2 linked regions of the Tribolium castaneum genome follow. The protein of the gene in region 2 purifies or fractionates together with the protein of the main gene of each other region. This does not show direct contact. Links are inferred from orthologs where the notes say so. Each region holds a gene or a part of one and is shown on either strand. Other genes may lie near its edges.

The links. Proteins that work in one complex are often made in the same cells at the same time.
Region 1: the proteins of RIOK2 (region 2) and bys purify together in Homo sapiens (affinity purification with mass spectrometry; 3 studies listed by BioGRID and IntAct, with this or other methods). This does not show direct contact. The link is inferred for Tribolium castaneum from reciprocal best matches to the Homo sapiens genes RIOK2 and BYSL.

Annotation. Positions count from the first base shown.
Region 1 is NC_087398.1:4,028,655-4,034,675, reverse strand, and holds bys (bystin), read right to left. Parts: upstream 3,004-6,021; 5' UTR 2,918-3,003; coding exon 2,783-2,917; intron 2,738-2,782; coding exon 2,266-2,737; intron 2,221-2,265; coding exon 1,562-2,220; 3' UTR 1,475-1,561; downstream 1-1,474. Other genes in the region: Tango11 (transport and Golgi organization protein 11), read left to right, coding at 709-922, 966-1,402; kto (mediator of RNA polymerase II transcription subunit 12), read left to right, coding at 3,508-4,057, 4,111-4,650, 4,701-4,964, 5,010-5,563, 5,675-6,021. UniProt on the Homo sapiens protein: Required for processing of 20S pre-rRNA precursor and biogenesis of 40S ribosomal subunits. May be required for trophinin-dependent regulation of cell adhesion during implantation of human embryos.
Region 2 is NC_087394.1:23,767,044-23,773,910, forward strand, and holds RIOK2 (serine/threonine-protein kinase RIO2), read right to left. Parts: upstream 4,179-6,867; 5' UTR 4,087-4,178; coding exon 4,021-4,086; intron 3,972-4,020; coding exon 3,830-3,971; intron 3,783-3,829; coding exon 3,404-3,782; intron 1,373-3,403; coding exon 1,181-1,372; intron 1,129-1,180; coding exon 603-1,128; 3' UTR 546-602; downstream 1-545. Other genes in the region: serine/threonine-protein kinase SBK1, read right to left, coding at 4,337-5,357. UniProt on the Homo sapiens protein: Serine/threonine-protein kinase involved in the final steps of cytoplasmic maturation of the 40S ribosomal subunit. Involved in export of the 40S pre-ribosome particles (pre-40S) from the nucleus to the cytoplasm.

The DNA of each region.
Region 1 (6,021 bases), on a different chromosome or scaffold from region 2:
CAGATAAATTAAGGGGGCCAGAAATTGATCTTTTTATTTATACGAACACAAAGGCCAAAATCTTAACCATTGAATAAAGACTTGGAAGCACACCAATGTCGCCAAAAATTAGAGGTCAAAACGACTTAACCCACATTAAAAAAAGCAATTAACTACACTTGTTGACCGAATTAAATTATTTTCAAAAATTCTAAGGTGTATGTTTGGTTGCCTATATAGACACAACTTTTTGTATCAGTTAGATAATTCGACTTTTGTGATTAAAAATTCCAAAAAATTTAAATGCATTGTTGCAATTCTACTATAAACTGAAATAAAACATACTTATTTTGTAATTTCCGAAATAAAGCAAAAAAGATTTTTTTTGCAAATATAATCAGGGTATTGGCAGTCCCACTTTGGTTGGGCGCTTGAATTTTTACATAAGCTTTTTTGCCCTTAAGTACAGATTCAATAATTTTTTTTAAATGTTTTTTTTTTCAAAACTGCGCCAATTTCAAATTCTCAGGGATTTTAGCCGCTTGGTATCGCCATCGACCGTCAAGTGTCAAATTCAAAATGTCGGATCGGCTTTGGTTATAATCGCTGATAAAAATAGCATTATTTGGCTATAAATAGCGTTATCACACCAGTAAAAGGTAGAAATTTATTGCCCGTGCTTGTCGGGGCCCCGCCCAGTCACAATTCGCCAAAAATCCGTATTTTTAGATGTCAGCGAGCACAAGTCCGTCGCATTACACCGAAGACGCCTTCGTGACAGATGCCAACTTCAAAGTGGAAATTAATCAAAAAATGAAAGTTCCCGACAAGATCAGCTTCAACACGGACTTGAACGGGGCCACACAGCCCCCGTGGAACCGCGACAACATCAACATGCAAGTCCCTGAGCGAATCCTCGTCGTGGGGCAACATCAGCACATTGGTGAGTTGTTTAGGTTATTTGGTGCGTCTGACTAGGATTCTAGGGACAAGGGCGCCCCCACGCGAAATTGTCTTTGACAACTCGATCCTTCCCCCAGAACCGTACCCCGGGGATGTGCGGGTTGCGACCCCGCCCAGGACTTTGACTCTGGACAAGTACCCCTTTCCCACTCTTGAGGAGATGGAGGACCCGGAACTGAACCAGATTCCGGTGGTTAAACCAAAGAAAAAACAGGCGTTTGATGATTCGGATTTGAATCTGACGATACGCGAGACTACGCCCCCGATCGGGGGCAGCGGCGAGAGGCTGACGGCCGCCGAAGAGGTGCTGCACCTCAGGCGGCAAATGGCGAAGCTCAACAGACGTGTGATGGCCTTAGAATTAGAAAACTTGAGCCGGCTCCAAAAGGAGAAGTTTCTAGTTGGTTTTGGAGTCGCTTATTTGTTGTTGAAAGTCATTATTTGGATGAATAGAGATTAGGGAGCACTAGTTTATCCCTAAGTTAGGAACAAATCGTATTGACGTTAATTAGTTCTGGTTTAAGTAACATAATTTTCCTAATTTTTCCAAGTTTTTATTAATAGTCTTGTTGTAACCGATTTTTTTCAATATAATTATCACAATTATGTAACCATTAATTTAGTCAAAGTCCATTTTTGGTTCGGCGGTTTCAGCGTCTCGACATTTCGCATTTTGAATTTCTCTTCTGATCTCTGGTGTGATAGCGTGGTGGTTTTGCTTCTTTAATAATTCTAATAAACTGTCCCTTTGCTCGCTTGAAATATCAGCTTTGTATCTTTGTACAAATGTCAGGAAAGCCTGATGCCACAAAACGGGTAATTCCCTGGAATCTCGCTCGAATCTCAAAAAGTGGAACACAACTGCGTCCACAACACGATACGGCAACGCGTATCTTTTATCGAAGAAAATACGCAAAAAAATCGAATTGGCGCCGGTGTAATCCATTTCCGCGATTTTCAAAATCGCGGCAGAAGAATGCAAAATAGGAATAGAGTTTCTTGCGACAACTGAGCCTATTATAATAGCTTCCCTGAGCGTACAATCGCCACTTTCAAGCAGTGGTAGGAGAATTCCCTTCATGAAGCCCCCAGGTTTGAACAGGGCTTTCCTCAAGGCTTGATATAAGTGGAAATTGAGTCGCTTGTATTCGGCCAAGTCGTCGCGAATTCGGGGCAACAAAACCAAATTATAGAACCTCTGAGCCATTTTTTCCTTGAGGTTTGAGGCGAAAATACGGGTGGCTTGGTACATGGCAGCAGCTGACCAACTTGGCGGATCTAAAACTTAATTAACCGCTGGGCATCAACAATGATTTTAATTACCCGTGATGTATAAGATTTGTTCCCAATTCCGCAAGTTGGGGATGATTTTGAACGCTTTCGGCAACTTGCCGCTCCTATATTTCCGCAAAACATCCCTCACCCCTTGATACATTTGTTCCACCCGTGGGTCCAACTCCTGCATTTTGACCGAGCCTTCCTCGCTAAAATGCGTCTTAACTTCGGTAAACTTCTCGGCCAAAATATCCCCCAAAGTGCGTCTCGGGGCCGGATTGCTACTCATGAACTTCTCTAAAGCTTTCTCATCCTCTTCATTGATTTCAATGTTTTCGTAAAACGTGTCCGGTTCGAGGGTGTCTTCCTCTTCCGGTTCGGAGTCATCGTCCCCCAGTTTGGACACTTTAAACTTGCTTGAACTTGCCTCGGACGGCGTGGGGCCGAAACTTGAGTCCAGCTCGCGTTGCTGCTCTCGGGCGGCTGAGAGAATCTTCCGCGAGAGGTTCGAGTCCACAAACTGGAATTTTTTATTGGTTTTAGACAATCATAAAGCGATACAAACTTGTTCATCGTCGTCTTGTCTTAGACGGATTTTGTTGCGGTTTTTCGACTTGGCAAACTTCGCGTCCTCGATGTCCTGGTCCAGGGGCACCTTGGTGCCCATCTGAGACGGCTTCAGGCGCTTTGCTTTGCCCATTATCCCTATTTGTTTACCACACGTGTCTTCAAACTATCTGGACGTAACCTAAAAGGACTTGTCAGAGGTTTGGGTTGGCGACATTGGCAATTTAAAATTAAATTGGAAAACAGCAGCATTAAGTACGAGATTGGGTCAAATCGGGTAAAATATTTTGCAAAATTAATTTTCTAAAAATTCGCTTTTTAAACTATTGCGCTATTAGTTTAAAATTCGATAAAATTAAGCAATTAGCAGGGATTTTTTTATTATCCCTAGAGGTCAAGATGGAGGACACCATCTTCAAAACTTGTGTTGTTGGTGCATAAAAGTGTGTTTATTTCGTCAAAACGGTAATTTATCACTACATTTTTTCCTAATTAAGCTTACATAATGCTTGTTCAATACTTTGTCGTTTTTTTATTTGTCTAAATCGGTGTAAAAACTGAAATATTAGCTCCCATCCTCTCGTTTAGGTGTTGGCACTTTCCCCCGCAATGAAGCCCCCGGGGTCGAGATTTTAATTAAATTGTAGCGATGCGTTACATTGGAGCTGCCTAAAGGCCCCCTTGTCAGTGTTCAAAATAATAGCAATCCCAAATTGTGCCAAAATGTTCAATAGCAGCCTTTTGTACGAAAAACGACCTTTGAAAAAGCCGAAAATCGGCCCTCCGGACGTTTACCCGCAAGAACCGAAGCAAAAAGAAGACGAGTTGACGAGTGTCAACGTTAAACATGGGTTCCTGACAATGACCCACTTAAGCGACGAATTTGGAACGGCCAGAAACTGCAATATTTCGGCAAGCAAAGTCGGGGATTATTTCAATGACATTATCAAACGCAAAGAGGAGTTGAGCATGTTGCCCGATTCCGGCAGGAAGCGGCAACAAATCAACCCCAAAGACAACTTCTGGCCCGCCACAATACGAACAAAAAATGCCATAGAACTCTGGTTTAAGGATCTAGCTGGGAACAAACCATTGATGCACTTGTCGAAAAAAGCGCCCAATTTCAACAAGAAAGAGGAGATTTTTATAATGCTGTGCGAGTATCAGGTGCCTATGATGCGGGCCGCCTGGTTTATCAAGTTGAGTTCGGCTTACACAGTTGCCGTGTCCGAGGCCAAAATCAAAAAACGGCAAATGCCAGACCCGACTACAGGTCTCTATTTTATTACTTGTATTAACTTTACACTTAACTACAATTTCTTGTAGAATGGACCGGAACGATGCTAAAATTCCTCAAAGAACAAATCCTCAAACTGCAAGACTATTACTCCCAAGGTGAAAAGCCCCCTCAAACCCCTTCTCTGACCCAGGCTGCGACCACCGAAACTGAGCAAAAACTCGCAATGCGTCATTGGATTTACTGCACACAGTTGCTCAAATACATGTATGAGGAGGGCCTCATGGACAGGCAAGAAGTCCTGACCTGGATTCTCGAACTTTTGGAAAAAATGAGGTCACAACCGTCCGATGACGGCATTTTGCGCCTTTTGATGCCTTTATGTTTGCAATATTTGGACGAATTCGTCCAATCTGAGTTGTTATCGCGACGTTTGGCGCATTTGTGTTGCAAAAAACTTGGCTACATGTTGAATAACGTCGCGGAAAATAATCTAATCACCTCGCCCCAAAGTGAGACAAAGACGGAGCAAAAAGACAACGAAAAGGAAAAGAAGGATGTGCCGGTGACCAATCCCATGCAAAGCACGCTCATGGAGTACCAAAATTGCCCACATCATCGGGATATTGGTAGGGAAAAAAATTTTTTTACCGATTTATTTTTACAAAATTTATTCTAGTGTTACAGCTGAGCACTGTTATTCAAACTATAACTCTTGAATGCCCGACGGCCCTAGTCTGGTGTGGTACTGGCGTTGGTAGTGTTTGGCACGGGTCTCCCCTAGATTTACTACCAATGGTACCATCGTCACTCCCGATGGCGGCGCGCTGCGACATGAACACCTACCGGAAACAATTGCAATTTGCCGAACATTGCATAAGAGAAAGGAGCAAAAGGGCCGAAGGCCGCTGGTGTACGGAAAAATGGCAAAATTCGTCGGCCGGTAATACAGTTAACTGTAATTAAAATTTTCTAATTTTTTGAGTAGGAACAATCACAAATCGTGTGTTGGCCGCGTTGGACGCCCTCGACCGCCACCGCTTCGACAAAATGGACTCGACCAACTCCCTTGACACTCTCTACACCAAGGTTTTTGGCGGTAACAGTGACCAGGAAAATTCCGTAGTAAAGTTATTATGTGAGTGGGCCGTTTCGCCCGAACGCACAGGTGAACACCGGGCCTTGGCGGTGGCGGCGCTTCTGGACCGCCGCCAGTCCGATTCGGCCACAAACGGGGACCAGGAAACCGCCCCCGGGGACGATAAAGACTCGAATTGTTCCGTACCAGGGGGGCCTCCAATGTTCCAACAACTGTTGATGAAGTTTTTGGATAGTGACGCTCCAGTGCCGGCACCTGATGACTGTCCGCAGAAAAAAACCGCCTTTTCGAATTTAGTTCATCTGTTTGCTGAGTTGATAAGGAGAGACGTTTTCTCACATGATGCCTACATGTGTACGTTGATTTCGAGGGGCGATTTGCTGGGGCCCGAGGAAACCACCGATGTGAGCACAAGCCACCAGTCACATCACACGAAATTAGAGGTGAGTGCGAATTAAAAGCCAATGCATTTTGCTCAAATTTTTTTATTTTATTTTGAGTTCTTATGATCATTATCAGTACAAATGATTTTAAGTCAGTATTTTTAAACTTAGGACCATTCGCACAATATGGATTTTGACGACGCGACAATTGACCACGACTTGGACAAAATCCTGCAGAACATTAAAGAGGACCAACAAAACTCCATGGACGTGCCTGACAGCCCCAAAGAGCACGACCATGGGCACCACCCGCACCAATCGTCCATCGGCCATGTGCCCATGGAGACGGACCACAATGACCATAAAGTCAAGCCTTCACGCCACCTTCTCTACACCACCCATTTCCCCTTGTACCAAGACGACCCATTCTCCCAGCACGATTGCAACCAACGACACGTCCTCCTCTATGGAGTGGGTAAAGTCCGAGACGAGGCGCGACACACAGTTAAGAAAATGTC
Region 2 (6,867 bases):
TAGAAAATAACTCATGTAATATTAAGTAAAATATTGAATTCAATGAATGTCAATGTTTTAACATCGATCCGCAAGAAACCTTTCAACCGAAAAAATAAGTCAGTGAAGGTTCATTGTCTTCTTTGTCGTTATGAAAATAAGTTGGTACCACATTTACACATTGCCAATGTCAGGAAAGCCCGCAAACAGCTTTCTACAACGCAGCAACTCTTTTTTCTGCATTATAAAATCGATAATGAAGCCGCAAAAGGTTGAAATGATCCTTATGAAGAAATTATTAAATTTAAATGTCCGCATAGATTTTTACCAACTAATGAGAGATTAAGTTAGCATTTTTCGTTACTATTAAATCCCCTAAATTTCTAAGGTACTGCCAACATAAAATGTATGAAATAAAATAAAACACTTGTAATAAACGAACTTTTATTAAACTTACGATGACCGATGAGGAGACTAAAAATGTTAAGAAATACAAATTTAAAAAAATAAAAAAATATAGACGCATCAAAGCACAAAAATCGGGAAATGTATATGAAATGAAACACTTGTTTTCTAATAGACAAACTTTTATTAAATTAAAATTAAATTATAACTCTTGAATTTCATTCCCATCCCCACAGTCCTTTGCTCTGTTTAATGGTATCGTTATTCTCCCTTCGGACCCTTGTAGTGGCGCTAGCTTCGCCCTTAGCTACACATTTCTTCCTTTGAGTCTTCTTTTCCCTACTTACGATTTGTTTTTTGACGCGACTTCTGATTTCATCTGGGTGGATCGTGGTCGCGCAAGACCTCACACTTCCACTTTCAAATCTATCAAACGAATCAATTGATTCACTATCTGATTGGGTTTCGCGATCTTGGAGTTTCAACTGATCAAAAATTGAATCGACTGTGCATTTTTCTTCAGTATCTTGTGATTCCTCTTCGTCTTCGCTCCCAGTTTCTTCATCGATACCCAATTCTCGGTTAATATCTTTAGCCATGTCTTTCGTAAACCCTGAACACAAAACCTCAGCGTCTAGAGCATCCGTTCTTTCGATATCGCTGAATTTTGGGTATAATTCGCTCTCATAACCAAATCGTTTTTTAAAGAAAGTTTTAATACAGTTAACGTCCCTATTAAAATACCTACAATTTCATTTACCGATTGGTGTACAGGGGAAAGTAGGAAAATACGAACATTTCAGCGTTTTCATGAGCTGTTGACATCATTTGAGGGAAATCAATTATTACAGGTTTCTCATCGTCTTTTATCATTATGTTAAACTCATTGAAATCACCATGAATCACTCCACTATCGGCAAACTTAACAATAAGATTCATTAATTCATCGTAAAGCGCCTCCACGTCATTTAATTCCATTACGTGACACCTAAAATTTTTTTGCCCTAAAGTAACGCAAAGTAGTTCGTAAGAACTTTGTCGGGGTCAATCCTCCATAAAGTAACCGCAATACTACGTCAAGTCACCGAAAATAGTCAGAAAAAAGTAGTACTTTTGGAGACATAAAGTTTTCAAAATTGTAAGTCATAAATTTGTAAAAATGCTTGCCGCAATCGTCCGTAAAACAACCCAAAATAGTCGGTAAAATTTGTTTTTCTATTGTCATTGTTAAAATCGTCCGTAAAGACAGTCCTTGGATACATCAAAAATTTTAAAAAATACGGGTTCAGAAAAAACGTAAGGTAACACTTCAGCACTAAAGTTATTTTTTACACTTATACAAGGTGGGTCTGCTAGAAGTATACTTTTAATATACCCCAGAAATAATAGTCACACAAATTTCCAGTTTGTTATTAAATACTTGTATACTTATTATTAATTATAAGTTCGTGGCAAAAGATTAATTTAGGAATCATTTTAGAACAAGCATTTAGTGCAAAAAATTCATAAAAAATGTTTCTAGCCCCAAAAATAATTAAATAAAAATGGAAATAGAGGTAACTTTGGGGCTATCATTATTAATATTTTTAATTAATAAATTTTAATTATCAGGAAAGGTGGATAAATTAAAAAAGCAAACGCTGATTTCTCTCCTACTATTAGTTTTTGAGATATATTAGTTTTGAGATGCTCTGAACTCAGAATTCGCTAATTTTGGGACACTCCTGTAATAAAAATACTTTAGAGTATTTAAAAATACTTTCAGCACCCATCTACGTGAGAAAATAACTTTAGTACATGTATATTGGTTAAATAAATGTCTGATTAAAGTGCCCCCTGATTTTGAAATTAAGTTGGTAATACTGAATTAGTGAGATAAAATTGTGTCAGTTGACACACATCCCAGCCAGAGATGCCACATTAGAGCATCTTTCCCAGCTCTAGGAATTTTTTAACAAGAAAAAAATTTTACATAATTTAGAAATTCTTTTAGTTTTCAGTAAAAATATCAAAACCGTAGATTTATTTCAAGTTAACATTAGGCAACGACTCTGGATACCCAGCTAAAAATAAACTGCCATTCTTGGATTTTTAATTATAAAAAAAAAGGGAAGATAATATCCTCTACCTCTTAATAATGAACGAAAACGTTATTCAAACTTGAATTTTTAATCTTTTATCTTACAGAGGCTTACTTGCTTGTAATTGTTTTTTCCCGAAAATTTGTTGACACAGATGCTCACTTTAAAAACAAGAAAAGTTTTTTTTCCAACAACGATTATTTTAGTATCATTGTTTTCATCATAAAATGTGATAAAAGGGAGACAGTAAAAGTGTAAGTACACCTAGTCTGTTTATTCTTTACATTTATTTTATTTTTAATTTATTTATTCTTTAAATTTATTTTTAAATCAATTGTTAAAGTGTTGTTATATTGGTATGAGTTATATGTTATATATGTTATATTGGTATGAGCCTCTTTCACCCACTAGTTATTTGATGATTACTAGGCTGGCAACCGTATCATTATCATTATGAATTCTTTGTCTTTTGAAATAAAATTTCCTTAACCCCGTTGTAAGTTTTCTGATATTTAACAATAAAAACTTGATTTTTTTCGATACAAGTGTTCCGAAACTAAAGGTTTTAAGGTGTTTGAGAGAATATTCACTTTGACAATTGTTATAAAAAAAAAATAAAACGAATTTACTCATCAAAAAGAAGTTAATTTATGTTATATTGTTTACGTATTATTTTTATTTGTTGTTTTTACTTTTAACAATTTTATTTTATAATTATTATGTATTCCCTAGAAATCGTCTTAATTGATACTCTTTTTACAATGTTGTCACAATAACTTTTTACCCAGTTGGACGTTTTCTTCTTTATTTACACAGTTTGAGGAATTTTGTTACTACACTTTAGGGATAAGTGTAACGTTTGAATTTGGCACTGTTGCCAACTTAATTTCAAATTCCAAAGCAACTTTGACCAGTAATTAAAATAAGTAAAAACTCACAAGGGCCGCCCTTTGACCAACTCCATGATGACACAATGTCTATTAAAATCAATGGGTTTAGGGACTGGAAACTTCCTATCATACAGCGCCTTCATGTAAGCAAATTCTTTAGTGGCTGAAATTCTTGATAAGTACAACCAAGACGCCGATTTTCTGTGCTTGTGATAATCTCGTTTATTCGTAACATTCCGGAAACACACTCGTCCCAATCTATGCAACTTCAAACAAACTTCCTCTCCTTCAGGATTTGCAACAATATAAATATTACTCTCCTTCCCCACCCCAATCTGATTTCCAAAAGAACCAATAACGTCGCGTTTTGTTAACGAATGGAGGGCCAGATAGTCATACCCCATGTTGGTCAAGCGGTAACCATCGTCTGAAATAATAAAATAAAACCTGAAGTCTGCAAAAACATTAACCCACATTTGCGCCCCCGCTCGTAACTCAATAATCCGTGCTTGCACAAATCACGCAGCAATTTGTGAACACCGCCGTGCTGCAAATTCGCAATGGACGCAGCCATGGGGCCCGGAACCAATTCGTGGTTTTTCATGCCCATCTCAATCTGAAAAGTGAGGTTAGGAAAATAAATTCAAGATAAAACGCCAAATTACCGCTGTTAGAACCCGGAAATCCTCACCGGTGAGGTAACGCATTATTGTTACGTTCAATTTCCCCATTTCTAACACTTAAATTAACTATTTTTCACGCAATTGCATCAACACATTTGCAAGGTTTGAGATTGTTTCTAGTTCCAAATCAAAAATCACCAAGAGGTTTTGGGGGCAAAATTTAAAGAACAAATTTAAATAAAACATTTTTTACTCTAAATTGGCCTAGGACTAGTTATTAATCACTCCATGATACAAATGTGGTAATAACACGTTAATATGTACAAATATAAATAACAATCAGTCACGTTTTGAGCATTTATTTCCTTGAGTAATGTCCATTCCCTCGGACTTCCGTGGCCGAGTACGCCCTGTACATCTTTTCAGCCCCTCGTACGTTAACAGGGGGCGACCTGCGCACCCCGTTGCTCACCCCGTTAGGGGTGGCCCCATAAACGTATTTCTCCGATTGGGGCAACTGCACGTTAATTTTGTGGTGCTTCACTGTGCTACTATCACTGGAATCAAGTGATGACAGTGAGTTCACCACTTGTAAGTTCTGGAATGGCAACGCTTTGCTTATTGAAAACTCGTCCTTCGGCTTGTCTTTCGTCTTGATGATTTGACTGCGAGACACGTTTTTCTCCTTTTGCTCTTCAAGGGGGATTCGTGGGTCAATCGGGGGGATATAAAAGTCCGGAACTTTGCGAAGACTGAGCGTTGAGGCTCTCCTTCGGCTGGTTTTGTCCGTTTCGAGGCCGTTGGTTTTGGGGGCTGAGACAGGTCCGCGCGACTCGTTTCGCTCCCCCTCAGGGCCGATTTCTTCATCGGACAGTGCTTCGATTTCTTCTTCGTTTTCCTCCTCAATGACACTCGACTGGATCCACTGGCGGATTCGGTCCTTTTTGGCCGTTCGGTCAACGGTTGTCTCAAGTCCGTACTGGGTTAGGGTGAAGAGTAGTTTATTTTTTTCCTCCGGACTGCTGTGGAAGCTGTACATTGAGGGGCAAAGCCCCTCCTCTTCATCCGGCAACTCGCTCGTTTTCTCCATCCCGCCTTTGGACATCCAGCGGTCTTCCAAATATCGATGGACTTCGGCAAGCCCCGCTGGTCTTTTCTCGGGTTTTGGTTCTAAATATTTTTTGAAGAGTTTTTGGGCTTTGGACGACACCAGTTTAAACAATTTTGGCTGTCTTTTCAGTGGAATAGTGCTGCTTTGCCAGGAAATATACCTGGAGTACCGGGGGTCGTCAGGGGCGGCTTTCTGCCATGGAAGACACCCGGTCAAACACACAAATATCACAATTCCAAACTGCCAAACGTCGTGACTAGTGTTGGTCCTGTGAGAAAAATGTAAATTTAGAAAAATGGAGTAATTTAAGTAATTAAAGAAATTTTGGACAAATCAGGAAAATTAGAAGAAACCAGGCGATATCTATTGCCAATCAACATTTTTTCTTAGTATTTTCGACAGTAAATTTTATAATTTTTCAGATATAAATACAGAAATAGTTATTTACGTAACAAGTCCGCAAAATAGAGTTTTAGCGGACGAATCGTATTAAGAACAAGGCGACAAAGGAGGAATGTTACAGATAAATAATTTGTTATATTAATTTGTTTTAGATATTTTGTTAAGATATGTTGTAACTCTATTTAGGCAATTATAAAAAAATGTATAAAAACATCACACCTTATAAAATAAGACAAGAATAAAAATAAAAAACCTCATGTGTAAAAATAACACTGACAATTTAACTTTTTTTATTTTATTATTAAAATTTTGTTTTATTGTTTTTATTTTTTATATTTACCAGAAAGATAGAGTGGTGAGCTATCTAAAACATCAAAAAAAAGATGTTGGTTGTGATTACAAAAAATTAAAAATGAAGACATTTCTGAAAAACCAATGATGTCATACACTTTAAAGTAGTGCCAAAATGTGATTAGTATTTAGCTATTTATAAAAATAACAATTAACCTATTTGAGGATTTTTTTGAAAAATGAAGCACAACAAAGATATGATTTTATCAGTAATTTAAATTGTCGAGAGTGCTCCAAATATTACAAACACAAAACAGAATACTCATAAAATTGTCCGGGGCACAGTAAAACGATAATCCACAAAAGGGCACCACCAAAAGGAAAAACACACTTAAAAAAAATTAATCCAAAACCAAAGGAAAAGGAAAACTAATTGTTAACTAACAATTAGAAGTTATTATTATGAAACACAAATGACAAGATAAATGAAAGTTTGCTATTAAATATAGTCTGTTTTTGTTATAAACAAATGTCGGTGTCGAAATCAGGCAGAATTTTCGTTGTATAGCGTTATATAATTGAAGAAATTTATTTAACCAACTAAGGGAACTAAGGGAAGGTTTATAGAAAGCTCAATTAAAGTTAATTGCGTTGTTAAAAGTTAACAACGCCAATAAACCAATCAAAGTGCTTCTATTTGGTCATGTGATCAGTTAATCATGCATTTAATGCGGATTAAATTAATAACAGCCAATATGATTTTTACACTTAATATTATAAATTTTGAGATGACATTTCTGCCCTTGAAAACTATGACCGGAAAAAATAGTGGTTATTTAGGGCAGCGAGTAATTAAAATTTATATTTTTCGATACGTTTCGATTTTTTATTAAATCTTCATCAGGCTGCAACATTAATACATGTTACTTTAAGTTGACATGGCACAAACATTTAATAATATAAGCACAGTTATAAATTTTTGAAAAAAAATTCGTCAGCATTAAGGATATTCTTATAAAAATGATGTTAAATATTGCTCAGTACAATAATTATAATAAAAAATCGTCTCTAGGCATACAAAAGCC